7 linked regions of the Canis lupus familiaris genome follow. The protein of the gene in region 1 interacts with the protein of each later gene in a biochemical or structural test. Links are inferred from orthologs where the notes say so. Each region holds a gene or a part of one and is shown in the gene's direction. Other genes may lie near its edges.

Region 1 (4,227 bases):
CTGAGGCCTTTGCCTCCTCTCTTCTAGGGTTCACCTCCCAGCTCCTCTTGGGAAGAGAAGCCGAGGCCTGGTGCTGTTTGACCTGGATGGGCCTTAGTTTCCCATCTGTGAAATGGGAGAAATTTCAAAGAAGGAGAGACAAAACAGGGATGGTATTTAAAGCTGGATTCACACTCACCCTTCCCTATGCCATGATTCCAGGAGGACTAGTGAAGAGCCAAAAGTGGGGTGCAGTTTTGGAGCATGGGGTGAGATTGTTGGCATAGTGTTTGCAGAAGCCTTTGTGGCCTAAAGCAGCATTTCCTTATTGTCCCTTTTCTTTGCTCTACTCCTTGCCCCCTGCATCCAGATATAATTTGCCTCTTTATTTTCTGGGAAGTGTGATTGCCACTAAATACTGGCTTCAGCCCCCTCATAAGCAGGAATATCTAAAACTCAATGACTTCTGATAAGCTGCCTTAGTTACTGTTTTGTTTTTTAAATGCACATTAAAATGAACATATATCAGGGCACCTGGGTGGCTCAATCAGCTAAGTACCTGACTTCAGCTCTGGTCATGATCTCAGGCCCTGGGATGGAGCCCTGCCTGCAACTGGCTCCCTGCTGAGCAGTGAGTCTGCTTCTCTCTCTCCCTGTGCCCCTCCCCCTCCCCCTGCTCTCTCTCTGAAAAGAAATACAATCTAAAAAAATAAAATAAAATATAAAATGAACGTGTATCTATTAAAATAAATGTTGCTCTTCCCTACACTGTTCCTCCTGCCCCGGTCCTTGCTTTGGGAAACTCAAGTCAAGGCGGGTCCAAGGCCTGGTTCTCCTCAGGTGACTTCCTTCTCTGTGCCTCAGTTTTTCATCTGTAAAATGGGGATAATCATCAGCCTGCCCAGCCTAGGTGTTGTTAGGAATAGAGCCTTTTAAAAGTCGACCTGAGCCATTGGCATGGTGCCTGGGAAAGAGCAAAGGCTCCGTTAGCGCTGACATTATTATTCTTATTACCGGTAATTGAGGAAGAGGTGGATTTGGGGTCAGCAGGACGGGTGCTTGGGCCCGGTTAGGGAGGGCATTTTGGCTGGGGGGTATTTAGGGGTCCCACAGGGTGGGGCGCTCTCACGGGTCGGGGTGGGGGCAGGGTTTCTGTGTCCCCGCCCCCCGCCTGCCCCTCCGCACCCCGGCTCCTGCGGCTCCTGCGCCCACGGGGTGGGGCCCGCGCGTGGGTCTCTCCCGGGTCACCGCGGGGAGTCGGGCCCCGCACGCTTCCTCCTTCCTCCTCCCCCCGGCGGCCGGCCGGGCCCCTCCTCCCCGCTCGCGCGCTCCCTCCCTCCTCTCCCCTCCCCGGCCGCCGCCGCCTCCTCCTCCCTTTCTCTCCCGATCTGTCTCTCCCGGCCCGGAATCCATTCCGGCCTGGGAGCCGGAGCGGCCAGGCCGCCGAGTGCCCGACCCCGCCGTCCCGCGGTCCGCCCTCCCGCGCGTCCGTCCGCCCGTGCGCCGCCGCCCAGCGGCCCAGGTGAGCGCCCCCCGCCCCTCCGCGGGCCCCGGTCCCCGCCGGCCCGGGGGAGCCCCGCCCGGACCCCGTGGCGTCGGAGGGCGGGCGGCGGGGGGCTCGGGGCCCCGCTCCGGCCTCGCCGGGTCCGAGGCGCGATCCCGGGGCGCTGGGCGGGCGCAGGGGGACCTGCCCGGCGCGGCCTTTTGTTGTGATGCCTTGGGGGGGAGGGGGCGGGCGGGGGCTCGGGGTCCGGCCGGCGCGGGGGCCGCCGCCGGCTCCCCCTTCCCCGGAGCCCCCGGAGCCCCCGGAGCCCCCGGAGCGGGAGCCCGGCCGAGCCCCCGGGCCAGGTCTAGGCCAAATCTGAAATCTGAGCCTGTCGGCGCCGCCTCTGGCCGCGGCTGCCGGGCCTGGCGCCCCCGGCCGGGATGGGAGGTGGAGAGGGGGCGGGCAGGGTGGGCCTGGGGGCGCCGAGCCAGGGGCGCGGGCCGGGGCCCCAGGACCACCCTGTCCTCCTGGAGCTTGGGGTAGGGCCTGGTGCCGCGGGTCTGGAAGGGACAGGGCCGCACTGTCGGTCCACTGCCCCCAGCCCCCAGCCTCGCCCCTGGCAGGCCCAGCCGCCTGCCTGCTCAGAAGTTGGCAAAAGTTTTGGGTTTTCTCCACCAGGCTGGGTCCATCTCCCTGCCTGGGCTTCGGTTGGGGGTGAGCTTAGGTGCCCACAGGGGCTGCCGCTTGCCCAGCTCTGTGTGGTCAGGCAACTGCCTACCCTCTCTGATCTGGGGGTCCTGATCAGTGGCAGGTGGGTCTGGCTGGGACTGCTGGGCTGGTGGAAGGATGACGGTAAACAGAAGAGGCTCACCTATGGGGTATCAGTTCTGCCTCTGGGGCCTTCAGGCTCACTGGCCGGTGGGCCGAACAAGTGAGGCTTGTCAAGTGGGGCTTCCTGAGCTTCAGGACCTCTACATTTGGGGCAGGGGTCCCTGGGTTACCTGGGATGAGTCCAGGCCCAGACACAGTGCTGCTGAGATCAGACTTGGTTTCAGGCATAGACCAGGCGGGTCCTGTTAGTGCCCCTCTTGTCAGCCTCCTGGCTGGACAGACAAGACTTCTTGTCTCCCTGGGTGACCTGGGCCAAGGGACTGCCCCTCTGAGCACCCACATGTGGAATGGGGGAAGAATATATGCACTTCTACGTGTAGGAGCTCAGTGTGTAGTAGGTGCTCAATAAATGAGTGCTTCACTGGATGAATTGCCTAAAATGGGAGGGGGCTGAGGGGGCTGGTCCCAGTGGGGCTTGTGTCCAGAAGAGGATGGATTGGTGTCCGAAAAGCCACCTGAGAGCCCCTTGAGAAACAACTCCAGCACCATCCTGCCACCCAGCAGCTGTGTGACCTCGAGCAACTCGCTGCCTCCTTGGGCCTCAGTCTTATTAAGTATAAAATAGGCCAAATGGAGAAACCGAGGCTCAGAGAGGGGAAAGGACTTGACCAAGCCCACACAGTTTGAAGCTGGAATGAGAACGTACACTTCAGAGACCCCAGTTTGGCTGCCCTTGACCCCTCCAGTGTGGGGGGAGCAGGGGTTTCTCAGTATGGGACGAGGCATGCAACGGTGTTAGACCATACAGATTGATGAGTGATTGCATGGAAGCCACGAGGTCCTCCTGGGGATGTGGTGATGTGGTGTGCCTCGGTGATGTGGTCTTTCCACCTAGGGAAGTGATTTACAGTGTGTCACCTCTCTCAGCTGACTGCCTGCCTAAGCCCTTCTGTGTGGCTCTTGGGCTTTTTTCCTCCTGTAGGTGTCCCTGCCAGGACTGCCCTCTCCTCTGTGAGCTGTTTATCTGTTCTTACTCTTGAAGACTTAGCTTCAGGCCCACCTCTTCCAGGAAGGCTCCCTGGCTCTGCCTCCCCTCCCCATCCTCTTCCTGGAGCATGAACTCTCCCCAGCTCACAGCACAGTGCCTGCTGTGGCTTCTTCCTGATTGTGACCTGGCGGGTGGGGGGGGATGTCTGGCTCCCGCGAGCCCCAGGAGCCAGGGAGGACATGGCTCAGTGACCTGCTGACAACACTCCCCAACCCCCTGGTCCTCGTTGATCCCATTTTCCAAACCTGCCCAGATGCAAACATCCGTGACCCTGTGTGAGCCTCTGCTATATGCTAGGAGCTTCAAACTCAGGCTGAGCAGTGTGGCGAAGGGGTTAGTAGTGGGAGTTGTAGGAGGCATCAGGGGGCTTCCAAGAGGTGAGGGAGGGCAAGAAGTTTGCTCAACAAAGAAGGAGGGAGGGTGCTCTTTCTTCTATTCGGACACTTCCCAGGGTTGCTGGGATTGTGGAGGTGGTCATCCTGCTGCAGAATTGTGAACAGGTCCCTGGCCTCCTAGATATTTGAGTCTAGAGGGTGAGCCAAATAGCAAACAAGTTACCAAATAAATTAATATATAATCACAGATGCGATAAGGGCTCAGAGAGAGAGGCGTGGGGTGCAGAGGAATTTTGAAGGAAGTATGTAGGAGTTGGCCAAGCATGGAGCTGGGGAAGGGCTTGTCAGGCAGAGAGAAATGCATGTGCAAAGGCCCTGAGGTGGGGAAGTGTGTGTTATAGAGAAACGATGGGAAAGCCTCTGAATTCGGAGCACAGAGAATTAAGGAGAGTGGGTGAGAGGTGAAGTAGGGGGTGTTTTGGGGGGTAATCACTCATATGGCTGGACCATATGGAGCTGTGTGGGCCTTGGGGATGAGTTTGACCTTC
Region 2 (3,500 bases), on another chromosome or scaffold:
CTGTCCTTGCTCCCACGGTCATCTGTGCTCCCCCAACATGCTCCACCCCTGGCAGCCTCCGCTCTGTCTGGGGTCTGGGGTGGCCCACCTCGGGGCGCCTTACCACTCTGGAGATGGTGAGAAGCAGCTGGGGGGTGACCCTGGAAGGGTGGCCCTGAGAGGGTGACCCTGGTGTGGGGAGCCTGGTGGGGTGACCCCGGTGGGGGGGCCTGGAGAGTGACCCCGGTGGGGGGAGTCCAGTGGGACCCCCCCTAGGGTGTCCTGCTAGGGCAGCAGAGGCGCTATACAGCTCACCCGAGGAAGCAAGATGGTATCTGCCATTTCCGGGAAATGTGTGTAGACTAAGGTGGGGGACACAGCGAGAGGCGGGCAGACGATGCCGCACACCGGGGTAGACACCCACGGCCATGCCAGGGTAGACACCCACCACGCCGCAGTAGACGCCCATCCCGTTGGTGTAGACGCCCGCCGAGGCGTGTGCGGGCCCTCCGTAGAATTCTCTCCGGGTTTTCTCTGCTTGAGGATGTGGATAGTCCGACGTCGGGTATCACACGGGTCTGACCGTCGGGAAAGGCGATTTTCTGGGCGGGCAGCTTGCCCTCGGGAGTCCCCTCTCAGCCAGGAAGTGTTTTGTTTTCTTCTGTTTCTACCCTTTGTTCAAGCCCTGAAATCAGGAAATAACCGGCTCCTGTGGGTCGTGCAGGCCCCGCAGCCACGAGCCTGGGAGGGGCCTGCAGGAGCAGGAGAGGGGGCTGGGCCTGGTTTCCCAGAGCCCAGGGGTGCTGCCTCCGCTGTCCCCGCCACACTCAGCGGATTCGGGGCTGGGTGGGCGGGGGGGAGCTGTCTGGGCACAAGGGGCCAGTGCTTGTGAAGTTAGCTCGGGCCCAGGGCGAACGGGCGCTGCCACCGCAAGGACCCCCCTCTTGCTGCTGTCCCCGGGTTAGCACTCGCGGCTCGTGGCCTGCCTTGTAGAGCCCACGGGGACTGGAGGCTGGTGATGCAGTGGCCCTGCTCGGGGAAGGTCCCTCTGGGAGGCGGGGCAGGAGGCCGGCCAGAGGCTCACCCAGGCCTGGCACCCAGGGTAGGGGCCTTCCCCTGAGTCCTCCTCGGACTCCTTCTAGGATGGTCCCTCGGGCCAGCGCCAGAAAACGGCTCCCGCCAGCTCGAGAAGCCAGCCTTGTCCCTGGGGTAGACAGGAAGGTGACTGGGAAGCCGGGAAGCTGGCCGGTGGGCATGCTGGCGCAGAAGAGCCAAGGGCCGTCCTCCAGTTACAGCCTCCCAGAGGCCTGGCCGGCATTCCCGCGGTGTCCCAGGGGGGCCTCCCCGTGATGTCCTGGGCGTCGCGTTGTAAGGTCATTCTGCGTGTTACAGTAGGGGGTAGGGCTTGCCTGGTACTTCGTGCGGTGACACAATGTGGGGCGCGGGGTAAGGCCAGTCTCTGTGGCATTCCACGAGACGCCTTTAGAAGCGGAGCTTCATCCATCCCATGTGACGTCACTAGGGGTCAGCCGTCAAGTCATTGTAGGTGACATCACCCAGGCCCTCCAGAATTTTGCGCTTTGAGTGACGTCACCGAGGAGGGGAGTGGCTACCACCGCATTCAGCCCGCCGCTACCAGGGGCCAGGCTTGCAGGGTCTGGCCTTGTGCATGACGTCATCGGGAGAGGGTCTGAGCCACCATGACGTTCCACATGATGTCCCTGGAGTGCAGCCTTCCTGACGTGCACGGGGTATTCTCGGGGTGCCGCATCTGCAGTGTTCTGAGTGATCACACGGTGGGGGACCCTTGGACTCTAACACGTGGTGATGTCATTAGCTGGCAGGGATTTGGGACATGGTCCCCACACCTTCTGGAAGTACGGAGCCAGCCCCAGAACGCTGAGCCCTGCCGCCTGCCCCTGGGGACCTGGTTTCCCCAGGCGGGGTTCCCCAGCTCCCCCACATGGTGGCACTAGGCACCTGCACCGGGACACTTTGTGACGGTGCATCTGTCCTGCCTGCTAGCCTGGTCGAGTCTGCCGTGGTGCTGAGTGTCCGCTTGTACGCATACCCTCTCTCCCGGAGCCCAGAAAGTGCCCCGTGGGTGTTTGGGGGTGCAGACATCATAGTGCTACTGTACGGACTGCAGGTTAGGGGACCTGGTGTCACAAAGCCCCCAGGCCTCAACGGCTTAGCCTAGCAGAAGCTCATTTCTCGCTCGTGCGACATCTGATGCAGCGCTTCTTAATCATCCGTCCTCCAGGCAGCGACCGTAGGGCTCAGGTCCCTCCATTAGTGGCTCAGTGTCCCCCTCTGGGCCCTCTGTGCCCAGCCTGCCGACAAGTAGAGGGAGCGCAGCGTGGTAAGGACGGGTGCTGGGGGCAGGCCTGCAGGCGGTGGCATTGCTCCCGCCCCGGTCCCCTGGGCAGAGCTAGTCTCGCGGTCGCACTCGACGCAGGACGCTAGGCACAGGGGTGGCGGTGTGCCGGGTGGGGATGTCGCACGTGGCAAGCAGCGGGCACTGGCCACAGTGAACGAAAGAGGACCTGGCAGGCCTCTACTGGATGACCCCAGGGGACTCTTCCCCGACGACTGGCCCATCCTCAGCCCCCCCCTTCATGCGCTCACCCCCCCCCCCATCTGCCATCCTCTCAGATCACACCAGGAAGCAAGGCCGCCCAGTCCCAGCTCAGCCAGGGTGACCTCGTGGTAGCCATCGATGGAGTCAACACAGACACCATGACCCACCTGGAAGCCCAGAACAAGATCAAGTCTGCCAGCTACAACCTGAGTCTCACGCTGCAGAAGTGAGTGGAGCTCTGCAGGGCACGGGTCAAGGGGTGGGGGCATCAGGCCCAAGACAGGGTGTCCGCAGCAGCCACATGGGCCCGGCCCGTGCTGCAGGCTCACACGGAGAGGTGAGGCGGCCTCTGGACGGGAAGAAGGACCGGGCCTTCCACGCCTGCCATGCCTGAGTCTCACTGTACGGATGAGGTCGGGGGTGGGGGGCGGTCACAGTGCTGCCAGCGTGTGGGCAGGCGGGCCTGGCAGCTGGGGTCTTCCCTGCCTCCTTGCTGCCCCAGACAGCCTCCCAGGGACCTAACAGAGGCCATGAGTGCAGAGTGCCCAAGGGCCATGCCTCCTCCATCCTGACCAGGCCCGGGGCCTTCCTGGGGTCACTCCAGTCCGTGCGGTGGACAGCGGGCCTCGGGGTCCCTGGCCTGGCTCCCCAGCTCTCTGATGCTCTCCTGTCACCAGCCCTGCCCCCGCAGGAGCTCCCGGTCCTCCTGGCAAGTGTCCTCACTTGGCCCTCTTTCTGGTTTCTCCAGGTCGAAGCGCCCCATCCCCATCTCCACGACAGCGCCCCCGGTCCAGTCCCCTCTGCCGGTGATCCCCCACCAGAAGGTAGGTGCTGAGGTTGGCTGCGCTTCCTGGGGTACTGCGCCGAATCGGCCTGCCTGGTCCTGGCTTGGCGCAGCCCTGCCCTGCCCCTGCTGATGCTGTGGGGCGGACCCCGTGAA
Region 3 (2,159 bases), on another chromosome or scaffold:
GAGGGGGAGGATGGGATCCTGGATGCCCCTTGATGCCCTCCTTTCTGCCCTAAATGCCCATGAAGATTGAGCATCCATGACAAACACAAGTGACCTTTCTTTTCCCTTCTAGATCAAGACGGGTGCACCATGCAGATCTGAGCGCTTGGCCAAGTACAACCAGATCCTCAGGTAAAAAGGAAGCCAACCTGCACTGAGTGTGTGGGCACCATCCTCCAGGGGGAGCCCTGGTTCTATGGGGGGTATGCAGGTGGGGGCCCTTGGTTTAGGGGCTGCCCCAGCACAGAACCTACATCCCCTGAGGCATGGGCCCAGAGCTGGAGGCTGAGGACCATGCTGCCATCTTGTGGTGGAAGAGGGAACAGGTCCCCTTTAGAATAATGTGATCCTAGAATTTTTAGAGCCAGCAGGAAGCCTTAGTGATTGACTAGTCCAGCACTGTGTTTTGTGAGTGAGGACACCGGGCCTCATAGAAGGGGGACAGGCAGGTTCCCACTGGAACCCAGTGCCTTTGGATGTTCTGGTCCCTTTTTATTACCATAATGGGTCCTTGGGGGCCCCTGAACATGGAGACTTGTCTATTTTTTTGTTCCTTTTTCCAGTCTTGAGTCAGCCTGGTTACCCTTTGCTTAAATGGTGCCTGGTGGGACATCTGCCCTGTGACCCACACAGGGCAGCTGTCGGCATTCCCACGGGGCTTCTCTTCATACACTACGTTTCCTCCTTTTCTACTGGAGAACTGGAAGCACATTCCAGTTCTAAGATTTCACCTGTAAATACCTGAGTATAGGTCTCCGAGAAACATTTGTTTACTTTTTAACCACCCTGCTCTCCCCATGCCATGAGAGTGCCGGGGATTCGGTCATTCTGTAACATCCACGCCGAGTGTGTGTCCTTATGCCACCTCTAAAGAAACTGGGTTGTCCTTTCATTAAAATCATTTTTCTTTCTCTTCCAAGAACTAGCACTTCTGCCCTTTTTTCTACTTTGTCTTTGGGAAATGCTGGGGGCGGGGGAGGTTGGGAAGCAGAAGCAGCAGTGAGTGGCCCACTTGCTGGGGTAGCTGGGTGGACACAAGAGCCAAATGCCCCTCTCTTCCTGCCGCCTCTGAGCAGCCACATCCAGAGGAGGCTGGTCCCTGCTATCTGGGTAGGGGATGTGGGCCTTGGGGACAGATGTTTGACTTCTCTTTTCCTCCTCCCCCTCCCCCTCTCTCCTCTGCCTCCCAAGAATTGAAGAGGAACTGGGTAGCAAGGCCAAGTTCGCCGGCAGAAGCTTCAGAAACCCCCTTGCCAAGTAAGGTCCAGGTGGCGCACCCTGTGGTCCTGAGTCAGCTCGTTAGACCTCTGCTCCCCCGGGCAGCTCAAGGCCCCCAGCCCAAAGTGGCAGGGCCCTGTGCTAGTTAGCTGCCCTCTCCCTTCCCCGTGATGTTCTCAAAGCTTCCTTAGAATTGCTACAGAAGCCAGAGTTGACATCTGGAACCCTGCTGGGAACCCTAGCTCTGTAAACATGTAATTGGTCCAAATCATTGCTTTCTCACCTCACTTCCACCAAGCATCTGGAGCCAGGTCTGTCTATGTAATAATCTCAAGGTGTCCACAGGCAAGATCCCCAGTGGTTTTATGTGCAGAATAAAAAGGCCTCAGTGACCCATAGAAATGCTGTGTGTGTGTGTTTGTTTAAAGCAGTCTGAGTCTTTCCTCATGGCAAGTGTTCAGTGAGTCTTGCACTGGGCTCTGGGCCTATAAGAGTTGTCCCCAAAAGGGTCAAGTGGCTCCTGGCTGGCTCAGTAGGACACACACTTTTCACACTTTTTTTTTCTTAAGATTTATTTATTTATATATTTTTTATTTTTGTTTAAAGATTTTATTTATCTATTCAGAGACAGAGAGAGGCAGAGACACAGGCAGAGGGAGAAGCAGGCTCCATGCAGGGAGCCCGATGTGGGACTCAATCCCAGGTCTCCAGGACCACGCCTGGGGCTGAAGGCAGGTGCCAAACCGCTGAGCCACCCAGGAATCCCCAAGATTTATTTATTTTAGAGCACAAGCAGGAAGTACAGGGAGAGGAGAGACTCCAACAGACTCCCTGCTGAGCATGGGGGTGGGGGTGGCTTAATCTCCTGACCCTGAGATCATGACCTGAGCCTGAAACCAAGA
Region 4 (4,063 bases), on another chromosome or scaffold:
GAGACACAGGCAGAGGGAGAAGCAGGCTCCATGCACCGGGAGCCCGATGTGGGACTTGATCCCGGGTCTCCAGGATTGCGCCCTGGGCCAAAGGCAGGGGCCAAACCGCTGCGCCACCCAGGGATCCCAGTGTTTGTATGTGGAATTACACATGGGGATCATCATGAGCTCCTGGGGTGTAGGGCCTCTCAATGTCAACCAGCCCTGAGAATATCAATCATGGCAGGGACCTCGGTCCCCAGCCCACAGGAGACAGGCCCCTAGTCACAGTCCTGAGCTCTGAGCCGATTCAGACCAGACCCCTTGACAAGAATCTATGGCTCAGGCATAGGGTGGACATACCCAAGGGGGCTACCCCCACCTGCATTCCTAGATCTGCTGCCCCTTGCATTCTGTTCCTTGGCTCCACTACCTGGTTAGGGCACAGTGGGGCAAAGACTTGGGATAAGAAGTAGAAAAGGTGTAAGTCTGACAGCTGTGCAGGAGTCATTCTGTCCATCCCTCTGTCCCGGTGGTGCCTCTTCAGATGTGTGTGCCAGAGGAGGTGAGGGTGCCTTTCCCTTTGCAAGCATCTGCTTGGCCTTGGCTATTATTTCTAATAAAGTATCCCCTTCCCTGCAGCCCCCAGTGGACAAGAGGTCCCCACCTCTGTCCTTTGAGTCCCCAGGGGCTGGCATACAGCTGCTAAAATCCCTGGCTTGGGAACCACAGTGTGAGGTCACATCCCAGCACCACCCCTTACCGACTGGCTGACCTCAGGCAAGTTCCCTACATTCTGTGAGCCTCAGATTCCTCCTCTGTAAAATGGGGGAAAAAACAGCATGTGCTTTGTGGGGCTATTAGGAAGAATAAACCAGATGAGGTACATAAATGACATGCTAGCATGGTGCCTGGCCTACAGTGAGACTCTGTGGAACGAGAGTTGTCACCGTCACCATTATCACGAGCTTGGACAGGGGAGGGGAAGGGTGTGTGGAAGCAGCCTGTGGAGGAAGATGAGATGGCCTGTGACTGCAGGGGTTCATGCTTATGAAGCGTGGCCTCCACACATCAGGTGCCAGGCATAGCTGTGTCCCTATGTTGTGTGTCGTCACGTTTGCAGAGTGCCATGCTCCTGGAGCCTTTGATGGCAGCCGTGTGGGAAGTGGGCCCCATCCCCACCCCCACTGCCACCCCGCTTGGCTTCTCTTCGCTCTGCCCTAAAACGAGAAGTACAGTGAGTTCCCCCAAGGGGTCGGCCGCGCCCCTTCCTGTCCCCGCCCTGCTGCCGGCTGGCCCTGGGGCCAGTGGAGTGGCAGCCCCAGAACCCACGGCCAGGGCTGACAGGCAGCCTGGGCGCTCGAGCAGAGCCGTGTGGAGGCCTTAGGCCCAGAGCTCTCTGCCCGCCCGGACTCGCCAGTGCACCTCGTTCCCTGCACCCCTTTCCTCTCAGGGAGCCCCCAGGATGGTGAGGTAAGGTCCTGGGGCCTGCGGGATGCAGGAGGCAAGGGGGCCCTGCGGATGGAAGGAAGGACCTCTCCTCATTGCTCTGCGGGCCTCCAGGTGGTTTCACCGAGACCTCAGCGGGTTGGATGCAGAGACCCTGCTCAAGGGCCGCGGTGTCCATGGAAGCTTCTTGGCCCGGCCCAGTCGCAAGAACCAGGGTGACTTCTCCCTCTCCGTCAGGTAGGTGGCCCCCAACTCCGGCCAGGGCAAGTGGCTCCCTTCTGGTTCCCTTGTGGCAGTGCCGACTCCCCAGGCCCCGGCACCCAATGTGTCCCCCCCGCCCCCTGTGTGTGCCTGGGACTCTGGACCTCAGCCCATCCCCCCTCTGTCCCCATCTCTCCTCTTGCACCCACTGGTCTCACCACCCGGTGCCCTGCAGGGTGGGGGATCAGGTGACCCACATTCGGATCCAGAACTCAGGAGATTTCTATGACCTGTATGGAGGGGAAAAGTTTGCGACGCTGACAGAGCTAGTGGAGTACTACACGCAGCAGCAAGGCGTCCTGCAGGATCGAGATGGCACCATCATCCACCTCAAGTACCCGCTGAACTGCTCCGACCCCACCAGTGAGAGGTGAGGGGCTTCCTGGCCCACTCCCACGTGGAGGCGGGCTGACTTCCACCCTGTCCTGCCCAGGGCTCTGTGGGCCTCTTTCTTCTGTGTGATCCCAGGCTCATGCCTCAGGGGACATCACCTTCCCCTTTTCCAGGGTCTCCACCAGCTGGCAACCCAGGCCCTCCTAGTGATGGAGAGGCCTAGTGGCTACATTTGGTAGTAGGCCAGCTCTGTTGTTAGAAAGCTCTCCTTCCTTCTGTGGAAACAAATCTGCCTTGCCATACTATTCTTTCCTCCAGGACAGGTTAATACATGGAGAGATTGATGTTGAGGAGGAACATAGGGACTTATATTTATGAGGACATTTAATGCTTTATCTCAGTAACACAGTGATGACGGGTCTCCTTTTGGGGACTTGGGAGAGCTTGACCAGTCCCTTGCCTGGAACACAGATCGGTGGATAACTATGATATGGTCGTGTGTGCAAGGGGCCTAGTATCTGGGCACAGGGTAGTACTCAAGGCATTGCCCTCCTGTCCCCTTTGGCTCCAAAGATGTGGTCTCCAGGACCGGGCAGGCTGCCCCTCACATGGTCTCCCTAAAGCATGGGTGGGGGTTGGGAGCCTGAACACTCAGCGTTACACTGGGGGCTTATTTCAGCAGCTGTATCCCAGTGACAGCTCCATTAAGGTGAATGGCAGACGAATAATTCTAGTAGCTTTTTTTTTTTTTTTTTTTTTTTACGTTCTGGGGCCAAGGCAGCTTGCTCTTGTCCTGTATTTGTGCATTGACTGTTGACCTAATGATGGACCTTGATTCCATCAGTTTTCACTCTTTCTAAGATGCATGCCTCTTAACTTGCCCAGTATTTTTGTTCAAGTCACTGATGGCAAGTTTGAGATGCGTGAGGATGAGGCCTAGGTGAGGGCCTCGTGGCCCACTGCTGGACACCATTCTCCAGCCAACATGAAGCCATCAATCCGTTTCCTTTGAAGCCACCTCTTGGAGGAGTAAAGCCCAAGCTTGGATGACTGCTCATGGTGGCCCTCCTTGGTCCTTTCTTGGTATCCACACCCTTTTGCCCTCTTCCTCCATCCTGCTGACAGCATTCATGGGGGTTTGCCACTCAGACCCTCTTGAACTCTTGGGGTCCTCTCTTCCTCTTTGGCCTAAACCAGCCTCTGCCCTGCTAGATGGTGGGCTGGTGGAGCCCCTAGAGGAGCAGGAGGTTGTGGATGGAGCCAGAAGAAGGAAGGAGAAGCTCTCCTTGGGAGAGCCTGAGGCCTGGAGTAGCAGGAGGAGGACAGAGCTGGGGGCTGGCAGGGAGGGAAGAATAGAGGGTATTGAGGCCAGGGAAGCTGACTCTCAGAAGCCTTTTTGGTCCCTCACATCAGGACACCTGGCTAACCCCTGACCTTGGGATTGTGTATGGGAGGCTCTTTCTCCATCCCTCTCTTGTGTTCCTGGCTCTGGAGGCTGCCCCTCCTCCTCTGAGGGAATTTGCATTTGTCCCGCCAATGGCTAGCACTCTGCCTGTGGTCAGCCTGATATTTGCATGGAAACTTCCTCATCCTGGGCCAGGGGGACGAGGGTCAGCCCCCACCCCATTGCCAGAGTGGGCGTGTGTGTGTGGGGTGTGCCCTGGTCTATCCCTGAATGGTGGGGTGGGGTGGCCTCCCAGGTACTGCTCCTGGACAGGGCAGGAGTGTGTCTGGGCAGGACCCATGTGCTCCTCCATCCTCCCCCCCATCCCTGCGGTTGGAAAATGCCCCCTCCCCTGGTCCCTGGGCTGAGGAAACCTCACACCCTCACTTCTCACTCTCTCCCCAGAAGGAGTTTTGTGTTTTTTCCATCACGTGGTTTCCTGTGGGGCTGGGCATTGTGGGGCTACGGTTTCCTCCTGGGAAGGGGGTGTGCTTCGGGGAAAGGTCCTAGTTCTGCTTTCTGCCCTTTCTGAGCCCCTCTGAGCCCCAGTCTCCCCTCCAGTGATGTTATCCTGAGCCCCCCAGAGCCCCCCAAACC
Region 5 (2,016 bases), on another chromosome or scaffold:
AGGTCTCCAGCCCTGGCCAGAAGCCCCCCTGCTAGAAGAAACTCCATGGCCTCCCATAACACCCTGTTTCTCCCAGACTGTGTGCCAGTGCCGCCGAAAGAACTGTGGGCAGCTGGACATCTTTCCAACCCGAGACGCCTACCATCCTATGAGCGAGTACCCCACCTACCACACCCATGGGCGCTATGTGCCCCCTGGCGGTAATAGACGCAGCCCCTATGAGGAGGTGAGGAGGGCCCCGCAGGTGGAGGGAGGCAGAGGTTTGGGCTGTGCGGGGCTTCTGAAAATGCTCAGAGAAGGTAGAATAGGAGAGGGGCACCAAGTAAGTGGTGGTGGTGGTGGCGGCCCACGGAGGCAGGAGGGGTGGGGTGGAACAGCGGGGGGAGGGGAGGAGACCTTGAGAGGAAGGGGATCTCAAAAGAGAGTGTCCCCACGACCAGCATTTCCAAAGCAGCATTCCCCGCTCCGCTGAACTGGCAGCACAAGCTGCTCCCTGGGACCCAGGATGAAAGGGATGTGACGCCATCAATGCAGGATGAGCACCTGTGCCCCTATTCATTTAGCTCCTAGGAGCAGAGAGTGGATTTAGAAAGTCTGGCAGGAATAGAGGGGGTCTCTGATGTGGGGGAGAAGTATAACCCATCCAGGTGAGCCTGGGTGCCAAGGGGTTCTCAGGAGTCTGGAGGAAATGAGGACCCCTCCTCCTTGTTTCTCACCTGGCCTTTCTCTCCAGGACCTAGTCAATAATTACTTGGGCCACCTGAGCGACACTCCAGGTCGGGGGAGGGGAATTTCCTTCCCTTGAGCCTGTTTTCTTTGCTCAGAGACTTCCTTCTCCCAGTCTTACAGAGGCAGATACTCCTGCTTGGGCTGGAGGAGCGCGATGGAAGGAGAAAGGGGCAGTAGGGGAGGGCGAGGGGGCTGCTGAGAGCCGAGGGGGGCAGTGAAGGGGACCAGAGGGAGGAGGAGTGGCCCTGCGCCCTGTTTACAGTCACCTGGCTGCTGCTAGTGCCCAGCAGGTGCTCTCCTAATTAACCCTTTGAGAGTTAGACTCTCGGACCTATTACCCCACCCTGTGGTGTGATCCAGGAGCCACTTCCTCCCAGGAAACCCACAGCTTCTCAGCCCATGTCTCCTCCCTCCACCCAGGTTTCTGCAGGCAATGGGGGCAGCAGCCTCTCTTACATGAACCCGAACCCAGCAGCCACTTCTGCCAACTTGTAGGAGCACATTGCCTGCCCAGCGGTCCAGATGACAATGCCACTTGCCTCCCCCAGACCCCCACCAGAGTCCTCTCCTCTCAACTGTGTTCTGGGCTGGTGAACTAGGGGGTTCAGGTGGGCTGTTCACAGACCCCACCATGTCCCCTACCCCATGTCAGCCCTGCTGATGAAGCCCATCCGAGCCCCTTGGGGACAGGGGCTCCCAGGAGGACTGACCCAGAAAGCCCCGGGTTGGAAGTACAAACCAGACCATGGCTGAATAAAATGGGGACCTCATCTGTGCTGACTGCCAATTTTGGATCTGTCATCTGTGACCCATAGGTGGGGGGCAGGCTGGGGGGGCGTTGGAAGGGATCTTTGCAGGAGTTGGGGGCAGGGAAAGAAGGCAAGGAATAGGCTTTGTCTGGAAAGCAGGAGACGTGGAGAGATGACATTGGGGCACAGGTCACCTCTGGCATCCCTGGTGGCACACAAGGAAGGAGGAAACGAAACTGAGTTGGCTTGGAGGCCAGCATGACCCGAAGTCAGTGTGACCCAGCTCTACCTGCACCCCTGGCTCTCCCCTCTCCTCAGGCTGGGGGCTGGTGGCAGCCACGCCCTTGCCTCCCCTTGGCCCAGTGCCCATAGGCGGCTCTATTCTTAGCTGCCAGGGTGTGAAGTAAGTCCGTGGGCAGTGATAACACAGGCAGAGTCAACATAGAGTCAACAGGCCACGATAAGCACAGCATTAGATCCGGACGCTGACGCCAGGCCTGGCCCCCTCCCTGGCCAGCAGGGTCTGCTCTAGGCACCT
Region 6 (3,990 bases), on another chromosome or scaffold:
GCGGGGTCGGGACCGTCCTGCAAGGACGAGGACAGGCCAGCGCCGGGGCCGGGGTGAGCCCCGCAGAGAGCGGGGGCCCGGGCGACAGCGATCCCGAGCAAGCTTAGAGCCTTAGGCGGGAGACTTAGTGACCGGAGGAAGCTTTCCTGGCCGAGGCGCTGGGGGTTGGGCTTGAGCCTCTGGGCGCCCGGGAGCCCCCGGGCGGGGGCGGGAACGCCGGCCTCGGGCTGTGAAATGCGCCCCCCCGGCGCCAGGGGGCGCGCGTGGGAGCTGCTGAGGGACCCGCCGGGCTCGGGGGCCGCGCGCCGGTGCCCACCCAGCCCCGGGCCAGGACCCGGGAGCGGCCGCCGGAGGTGGCGGGGGTCCGAGCCCCTCGTGGCCGCGGCCTCGGGCGCCCGCCTTGCGCCCCCCTTTGCAGCGCGAGCTCGGGCGTGCAAGGCGCCCGCGCGGGTGCGGATGCGGGTGCGGGTGCGCATTAAGGCGGCGGGGGCCGCGGCCGCCCCGACGGCGGGGACTCCCGGCCGCGATGGGAGGCAGCTGTTCTCCCAGGCGGCCGCGGGGGGCAGCAGAGGGGGCGCGACAGGTGCGGGAGCCCCTCCCGGGCTGGAAGGGAAAAGGCGGGCTTCGGGTCTGTTCCCAGGCTGGAGGCCGCCCCGCCCCCGCCCCCCAAATCCCCCGGAGAGGCCGGGCCGGCGCCGGGTCTGCGGGAGGAAGCGGCCGGAGACAGCGCGATTTCACGCGGCCTCGGGGCTCGGCTTCCAGGGCAGCGTGGACGGATTACGGGGCCGGAAGGGTCCCGGGGAAACCGAGGCGCCTGAGCGTGCGGCCCGCGCCTTCCTCACAAACACTCACGGAGAAAAACATTCACATTCAGGGAGCCCCCCCGCCCCGAGTGACCCAACCGGCTGGGGAAGTTGAGTGATCTGGTTAATGGGCGCGGCCAGCTTTCAGGGGCCGGGCTTCGAGGCGCCCTCCCCGCCCCCAGCACCTTTCCCCGTCGGAGGCGCTAGGGCGTCTGCAGTCCCGGCCGCCCCTCGGCCCGGCCCCCGGGAAGGTCCGGGCGCGACCCCGGCTCGGCTCGCGTGGCCCGGGGACGAGCCCCGGCTGCAGCGCCGCCCCCCTCCCCTGCCCGGCGGGCCCCCGCCCCGGCCCGGCTCCGATTGCGCTCCGCAGCCTCCCCGCCGCCGCTGCCGGTCGCTGGCGGCTCAGGTGGCCCCGCTCGGATGTCCTAGTCGGGGCCCCGGGCCGGATCCCGCGGGGCCGCCGCCGCCTCCGCGGGCGTCATGAGGGCGACGGCGCCGCTGCAGGTGCTGGGCTTCCTGCTCAGCTTGGTCCGCGCCTCCGACGTGGGCAACTCCCAGGCAGGTAAGCGGCGCGGGCGCCGGGGGGGGGGGGGGGGCCGGGCGGGGGCGGGGGGCGCTGGGACCACCCCGGCGGGGCGCTGCGGCGGGCTCGGGGCTCCCGACCCCCCACTTCTGATCTGCGTCGGGGTGGGGCCCCCCGGGACACCCCGCTCCCCTGGGCGCTGCGGGCGGGCTCGGCGCTCCCGACCCCCCACTTCTGATCTGCGTCGGGGTGGGGGCCCCCCGGGACACCCCGCTCCCCTGGGGAGCCCTGTGGGGACGGCCGTGGGGCCTCGGCTCCGCAAACGTGCGGCGGCAGTGAGGGGGGTGAGGTCCCGGAGAGTGGGGGTCCCGGCCTGTGAGCCCACCCCCTCCCTCGGTTTCGGCGCCTCCAGTTTCGTTGTTTTGCCGACAGGGCGGAGCTAGGGAGGGGTCGGAGGGGGTTGTTGTTTTCTACTCTTGGAAAAACAAGAGCCGCACCTCCTCTTCCGTGGACCTGCCCCGGGACGGGCGGAGGCGCACCTAAGGGCCAAGTACAGGTGACATCGGGGTGAGAGGCCACGCAGAGGCCGACCTCCCTCATTTCCTCAGGATAACCAAGCTGGCTGGTCCCCGGCTTGACCAACCTCTTGTTTTTTTTTTTTTTTTAATTAATTAATTTATTTATGAGAGAGAGAGAGAGAGAGAGAGAGAGGCAGAGACACAGGCAGAGGGAGAAGCAGGCTCCATGCACCGGGAGCCCGATGTGGGATTCGATCCCGGGTCTCCAGGATCTCGCCCTGGGCCAAAGGCAGGCGCCAAACCGCTGCGCCACCCAGGGATCCCCCAACCTCTTGTTTTTGTCAAGACCCAGATCAATTCAACTAATATTTATTGAACATCTACTACGCACAGGGTCTGGGCCAGGAGCTGTAGGGTTAGGGGCCTGCAGCCTGGACTTGTCTGTCTTTTCTCCCCCAACCCGAGACCAACAGGGCGCCTCTCCCACCTCCTGAGCTTCCAGTCTGGGAGTCCTTCCCGGACCCAGCTCCCCCCCCACCTACATTCTGCTTATTGTCTGACTCTGTCTCCTGGAGTCTAGACAACAGTCAAACTGCGCCTCTCTTCCTCCTCCCACTCCCATACCATCGGAGCCCACCCCCTTGGGGTGTCTCTGGGACCGTGGACACCTGAGGGTTCTGGTGTTGCTCGAATTGGAGGAATCCTGTTGATCTCTTCCCCTCCCCCAGACCTCAGCTTGGGATTTGGGAGGGCCAGGGCCTCTTCCCCAGAGTGGGAGTGGGAGAAACACCTGTGCTTCCCCCACAGTTGCTGGGCCTAAATTTAGACTTGGGATCTTGACTTTGAAACTCCCAGCTGGTGGGGGGGTGGAGTGGAGGGGGGGGTCTGGGGACTGGAGTGGGAGGGACCAAATAGAATGACTGGGTCACTGTCCCATCCAGACCCTTGGAATCTTCAACCAGGAACCCAGGAGTCCCAGATCCTGGCCACCTTCCCTTGGGGCGACAGGAGGCAGGCATGGTTGGGTTTCTTTACCCTTTATCTGGATCCTGCAGCCTCTGGGCATCCGGCCCTGTCTCAGTCCTTCTATAGTCCCTTTGTCCTGGCTGTGATGGGGGTGGGGGCTATTGGAGAGGAGGCCTCTGGTTGAGGAGGCAACGAAGATTCCTGGTCGACCCACCCCAGTGCTCTCTACCAAAGGAGTGCCAGGCCCCTCCCTAGGCCCCTGGTCCCCGGGTACAGTGGGGCTTTTCCTTACTCTCTTCCCCCTTCCCTCCTCCCCATGCTGCCTGTTCCTCCTTAGAGGTGGTTTTCACGCTCTCTTCCTGAGCAGGCCCTTTGCTCCCTGTTTGTGTAATATGGACTTTACCCTCAGGATGGCAGAGAACTGGGACCTCTAACCCTTTAGCCTTCCAGGCACAGACACAGAGTCTGCACAGACACCTAAGGCAGGTGGGATAGATGGGGCCACCTGAAATACTTCCTCATAAGGAACCCCGAGGACAGAACCAGTATAGATTTCTGGGCCAGCGGGGAGCGGTGTGCATGCTTGTCTGTGGGTGTGTGCGTGTGTGTCCCTCGTGCATGTGCACACACACACACATCACATACATATCCCACTTCTCCATGCAGAAATCTTGGCTCCTCCCTTATCTGGGGAGAGCGGTTGGCGCCTTGACTTGCAAGAGGGGGTGTCCTACCAGGAAAGGGTTTAGGGTGGGGCTGTTCCCTAAATGATTAACCTTCCTAGTTTCTTTACTTTCAGCCCCAGGACCCTAGAGTTCCCAGGCTCCTCTGGGAGCTCCCAGCCAGTTTACTCCTCTGCTGGGTCTAGCCCACCCCCTTCCTTCCCATTGTGGGGAGTGAAAGGGGATGGGAGCCCTCCAAAGTCCAGTGGTCAGACTAGGGGTGTATCTAGGAGGAGGGGTTGGAGCCTCACTAATCTCTCCTCCTCCGTTCCCACTCCCGCCTCCTACTAAACTGCCAGCGCCTCAGGGAAGGGTGGTGAGAACAGGTGGTGTCTACCCCCCACCCTCCCCCGGCCTCTGAGCGGAGGGGAGAGGGGTGGGGCTTCGGGGTCCCGCCTTTCCCTTAGCCCCTGTGTCCTCCATACTTAGAAGGGCAAGTGAACCCCCAAGACTGCCAT
Region 7 (3,500 bases), on another chromosome or scaffold:
CTAGTTCTTCTGTCAGCAGAACGGGAAGAGGAAGAGGTGACCACAGATGCAGGTAGAGGAGCTGACATGTATTTTCTTGCTATTGTCTATAGCAAGGCCATCAACTGGAATTAGAAGGAAATCAGAGATGAATTATCTGGGGAAAGTGGGAAAAATACCAAATAATAATGTGTAGAAATGATGAGGAATCCAGTGAATTTTCAGGCAGCACTGAGTGCCCATTTGAATAGGTGAATATGAACGTTTAGTGACACCAATTCCCTGGTGTGATTTTTCTCCAAGGACACTGTTCCTCGGGTATAAAATGGTGAAGGTGGGTGGTTGGTTTTGTCCAGGCCTGGGGCTTTTCCCAGGGGTGCTGTGGATGGAGAGAGAGTGGAGGGAGCAGAGCTGTACAGTGGAGGGTGATTGTCACAATAGTACTCTGGAGGCACCTGGGTGGCTCAGTTGGTTGAGCGTCCAACTCTTAATCTCATGGTTTTGAGTTCAAGCCACATGTTGGGCTCCAAAGTAAAGATGGAAAGTACCAAAGTACCACCCTGCCACCACCACACCACCTTTTACCTGGACCATTCTACTGGGTGTAGAATCTACTTTAAAATAACAAAAAAGAATAGTATGTAGAATCTAAGCCTGATGTGGGGCAGCAGGTTAGAAGAAGGCAGGTGGAGAATAGAAGAGGGCTCAGTGGTCTGCTGAGCTCCATAAGGTGATGGTCAGGGGACCAAAGGTAGCTGGAAACCTGGGTGGCTGTGGTCCAGAGTGGGATGCTGGGACTTTTGACATTAGCAGGGGTGTGATTCTGCTGATGGTGGGATGAGGCGGAGGGTTACTCTGCTGCAGAGATTGAGAAGCTGGAAAAGCATAGCTGTCAAGCTGAAATGGAAAAGATTTAGAGTACACTGGCCAGAGATTCCAGATAGGTTTGTTCAGATTTAGGCTAAACCACCCATCTTCTTATTATCAGGTGTTTCTGAGTAGCAGATTGATATTTCTTCAGTTTTAGTGATAAAGTATCCATCTTCTTGTTAACAGAGATTTTTGAGCAGCAGGTACAGGAAATATTGACATTTGGGTTTGTGTCTTATACCCGTGGATTCAGGTGCCGACACAGGACAGATCATTTCTCCAGAATTGCTGGTCACGTGCTTTTTATAGAAACACATTTTTTACCTGCTTTTTATAGAACACATTTTTTTCTAAAGTGCTGTGACATGATCTCATTTAAGTTTCTTAGCAGGGAGGAGCTGGGTCAGAGATCTCTTGGGACAGAGATATACCAAGGACGGGAGCAGGATGTTCAGGGCAGCTGGGTCTCCTTCCTTGAGTGTCCTTACGGGGTAGTCCCCGAGATTTAGCTAACTGGTAATGTCAAGAAAATTTTTTATTGTGACATCGATAAATTAAATGCACATAATTCAAGAAAAGATCTTAATTGTGGTTTAGATTCCTTGGATGTCCTGAAGGTCACCGGTGGTAGACACTGGCTTCATTTTTCTTTCTTTTCAAAATCTCCTTTAATAACGTCACTAGCTTGGATTTCCTTCAGATACATAAGATGCAGATGGAGCAATCAGCAGCACTGCTACAGTGACCTCATGTGGGTAGACCCAGATGGTTTTCTGTAGTCTTGACCTTGGTTACTGATCCCTCTCCTCAGAAGAGCACCGGTGGCCGATTCTTTTATTGCTGCCAAGTAGCGGCTGTGTGTTTAATTGGTCTTGTTTAATCCCTCTCACTGTATTGTGAGAGAGATGATTATTCCTATTTGCAAATGAAGAAATTGAGGCTTAGAGATGCCTGGAGATGACGGTGATTATGAATGCTGGAATTTGGGCTTAAACCCAGCCTTCTGACCACAAAGCCTGTCTACTTACCTACTTTGCGCTAAACAGAAGGTTTAACTGCTATGATGTTGTAATAAAAGTGGGTGTTTGGGGAGAGGGGATGAGGGCTGGGTATAAAAAGACAAAGAGGAATACTCTTGACAGGGTAGCTGTTTTCTTATCTGCTGGGAAGAAAGCCCCAAGTCCCAGAGGCTTCAGTTGCCTCCTGAATTGAGCTACACGCAGACAAGGAAGATGGACATTGCCTGCCACCGAAGATTCAGAAAGCTGATTCAGGTTGTAGCCTCCCAAGGAACTGATCGCTGTACTGGACATTTTGGTTCTTTTTTTTTTTTTTTTTTTTTTTTTTTTTTAAAGTTTATATACCATTTATACAGATGGCTTTTATTTTTTTATGATAGTCACACAGAGAGAGAGAGGTAGAGACATAGGCAGAGGGAGAAGCAGGCTCCATGCACCGGGAGCCCGACGTGGGATTCGATCCCGGGTCTCCAGGATCACGCCCTGGGCCAAAGGCAGGCACTAAACCACTGCACCACCCAGGGATCCCGACATTTTGGTTCTTATGACAGAGGCAAACAGTTGCCTTCAGGATTGCTCAGCCAGATCCGAAAGGAGACATGATTTGGAAGCTTGTCTGACCTTTAAATGGAACGTGGGGAGATTCGGTGCTGGTCTGCTCCATTGGCTCACATTGGGTCCAGGGAAGATCAGAAATGGGCGATTCCTCAACCCCTTGATTTATTTAATTCTTTTCTGGTTTTTCTTGGCTCTACTCCAGGGGAATACAGAGAGAACCGTGTGGCAATACCACTTTCGGACCTGGCCGGACCACGGAGTGCCCAGTGACCCTGGGGGCGTGCTGGACTTCTTGGAGGAGGTCCATCATAAGCAGGAGAGCATTACGGATGCAGGGCCTGTGGTGGTTCACTGCAGGTGACCGGCCCCTGCCACCTCTCCAGGCCGCAGCCTGTCCCATCTCTTAATGCCCAGGGCTTGTCTTTACCTCCCCACCCCCAGCCCTTTCACTGTGAGAAGAATTTCATCTCGGTTTCAGACATGCATAAACTGCATGAAGGGACACTTTGACCATAGAGTATTTTTCTCATAGGTCCTACAGTACTGCCAGGTATTGGTGGTGGCCGGGCAGAGGGTGGTGGACTTACTCCTTATCCTCAGGCAGCCTTTACCTAGTCTAGTGATGTTTGCTTGTGTGTATATGTGATTTTTTTTTAATATGGTAGTTTAGAATTAATCACTTTGATTGTGATCCTATTCTCTTCTGCTGCAGGAATAAGATGCATTTTTCCCCCTGATAAGACACTTGTTCACTTCAAAAGATTTGGACTACTCCCTCCCCAGACCTCTGGAAGCCCTGCCCGTGGCATCTCACCACGGTTTACAGCCTCCTGGCACCCAAGTCTGGGCTTCATGATTATACCGGGGGAAGTTTAGTTTACCAAATCTCATCCATACATTGGGCAAGTAGCTGTGTATGAAACTTTTTCAGTTTTTTAAAAGCTACTGTTTATTGAGCATGTGCTCCACTCCGGCCTCTGTGCTCAGTGTTTTCCATACATTACTAACATTTGATCCACACAACAACCCTGTAAAGTATGTGCCATTATCTGCATTTCACAGATGAGGAAACTG

What was found.
Region 2: the proteins of SRC (region 1) and LDB3 interact in a test that uses a peptide from one of them, tested with the Homo sapiens proteins (2 studies listed by IntAct, with this or other methods). The link is inferred for Canis lupus familiaris from reciprocal best matches to the Homo sapiens genes SRC and LDB3.
Region 3: of the proteins of SRC (region 1) and ENO1, one has a biochemical effect on the other in vitro, tested with the Homo sapiens proteins (4 studies listed by BioGRID). The link is inferred for Canis lupus familiaris from reciprocal best matches to the Homo sapiens genes SRC and ENO1.
Region 4: of the proteins of SRC (region 1) and PTPN6, one has a biochemical effect on the other in vitro, tested with the Homo sapiens proteins (2 studies listed by BioGRID). The link is inferred for Canis lupus familiaris from reciprocal best matches to the Homo sapiens genes SRC and PTPN6.
Region 5: the proteins of SRC (region 1) and MUC1 form a complex in vitro, tested with the Homo sapiens proteins (2 studies listed by BioGRID, with this or other methods). The link is inferred for Canis lupus familiaris from reciprocal best matches to the Homo sapiens genes SRC and MUC1.
Region 6: the proteins of SRC (region 1) and ERBB3 form a complex in vitro, tested with the Homo sapiens proteins (2 studies listed by BioGRID and IntAct, with this or other methods). The link is inferred for Canis lupus familiaris from reciprocal best matches to the Homo sapiens genes SRC and ERBB3.
Region 7: of the proteins of SRC (region 1) and PTPN11, one has a biochemical effect on the other in vitro, tested with the Homo sapiens proteins (2 studies listed by BioGRID and IntAct). The link is inferred for Canis lupus familiaris from reciprocal best matches to the Homo sapiens genes SRC and PTPN11.

The regions. Positions count from the first base shown.
Region 1 is NC_049245.1:26,537,273-26,541,499, forward strand, and holds the start of SRC (proto-oncogene tyrosine-protein kinase Src), read left to right. Parts: upstream 1-1,427; 5' UTR 1,428-1,501; intron 1,502-4,227. UniProt on the Homo sapiens protein: Non-receptor protein tyrosine kinase which is activated following engagement of many different classes of cellular receptors including immune response receptors, integrins and other adhesion receptors, receptor protein tyrosine kinases, G protein-coupled receptors as well as cytokine receptors.
Region 2 is NC_049225.1:35,253,842-35,257,341, forward strand, and holds part of LDB3 (LIM domain-binding protein 3), read left to right. Parts: intron 1-2,634; coding exon 2,635-2,786; intron 2,787-3,308; coding exon 3,309-3,384; intron 3,385-3,500. UniProt on the Homo sapiens protein: May function as an adapter in striated muscle to couple protein kinase C-mediated signaling via its LIM domains to the cytoskeleton.
Region 3 is NC_049226.1:62,793,765-62,795,923, reverse strand, and holds the end of ENO1 (alpha-enolase), read left to right. Parts: intron 1-112; coding exon 113-171; intron 172-1,230; coding exon 1,231-1,300; 3' UTR 1,301-1,659; downstream 1,660-2,159. UniProt on the Homo sapiens protein: Glycolytic enzyme the catalyzes the conversion of 2-phosphoglycerate to phosphoenolpyruvate. In addition to glycolysis, involved in various processes such as growth control, hypoxia tolerance and allergic responses.
Region 4 is NC_049248.1:7,997,202-8,001,264, forward strand, and holds the start of PTPN6 (tyrosine-protein phosphatase non-receptor type 6), read left to right. Parts: upstream 1-1,263; 5' UTR 1,264-1,444; coding exon 1,445-1,452; intron 1,453-1,542; coding exon 1,543-1,665; intron 1,666-1,864; coding exon 1,865-2,059; intron 2,060-4,063. UniProt on the Homo sapiens protein: Tyrosine phosphatase enzyme that plays important roles in controlling immune signaling pathways and fundamental physiological processes such as hematopoiesis.
Region 5 is NC_049228.1:42,329,682-42,331,697, forward strand, and holds the end of MUC1 (mucin-1 precursor), read left to right. Parts: intron 1-76; coding exon 77-226; intron 227-1,149; coding exon 1,150-1,224; 3' UTR 1,225-1,516; downstream 1,517-2,016. UniProt on the Homo sapiens protein: The alpha subunit has cell adhesive properties. Can act both as an adhesion and an anti-adhesion protein. May provide a protective layer on epithelial cells against bacterial and enzyme attack.
Region 6 is NC_049231.1:757,162-761,151, forward strand, and holds the start of ERBB3 (receptor tyrosine-protein kinase erbB-3), read left to right. Parts: upstream 1-1,190; 5' UTR 1,191-1,283; coding exon 1,284-1,365; intron 1,366-3,990. UniProt on the Homo sapiens protein: Tyrosine-protein kinase that plays an essential role as cell surface receptor for neuregulins.
Region 7 is NC_049247.1:10,373,568-10,377,067, forward strand, and holds part of PTPN11 (tyrosine-protein phosphatase non-receptor type 11), read left to right. Parts: intron 1-2,616; coding exon 2,617-2,783; intron 2,784-3,500. UniProt on the Homo sapiens protein: Acts downstream of various receptor and cytoplasmic protein tyrosine kinases to participate in the signal transduction from the cell surface to the nucleus. Positively regulates MAPK signal transduction pathway. Dephosphorylates GAB1, ARHGAP35 and EGFR.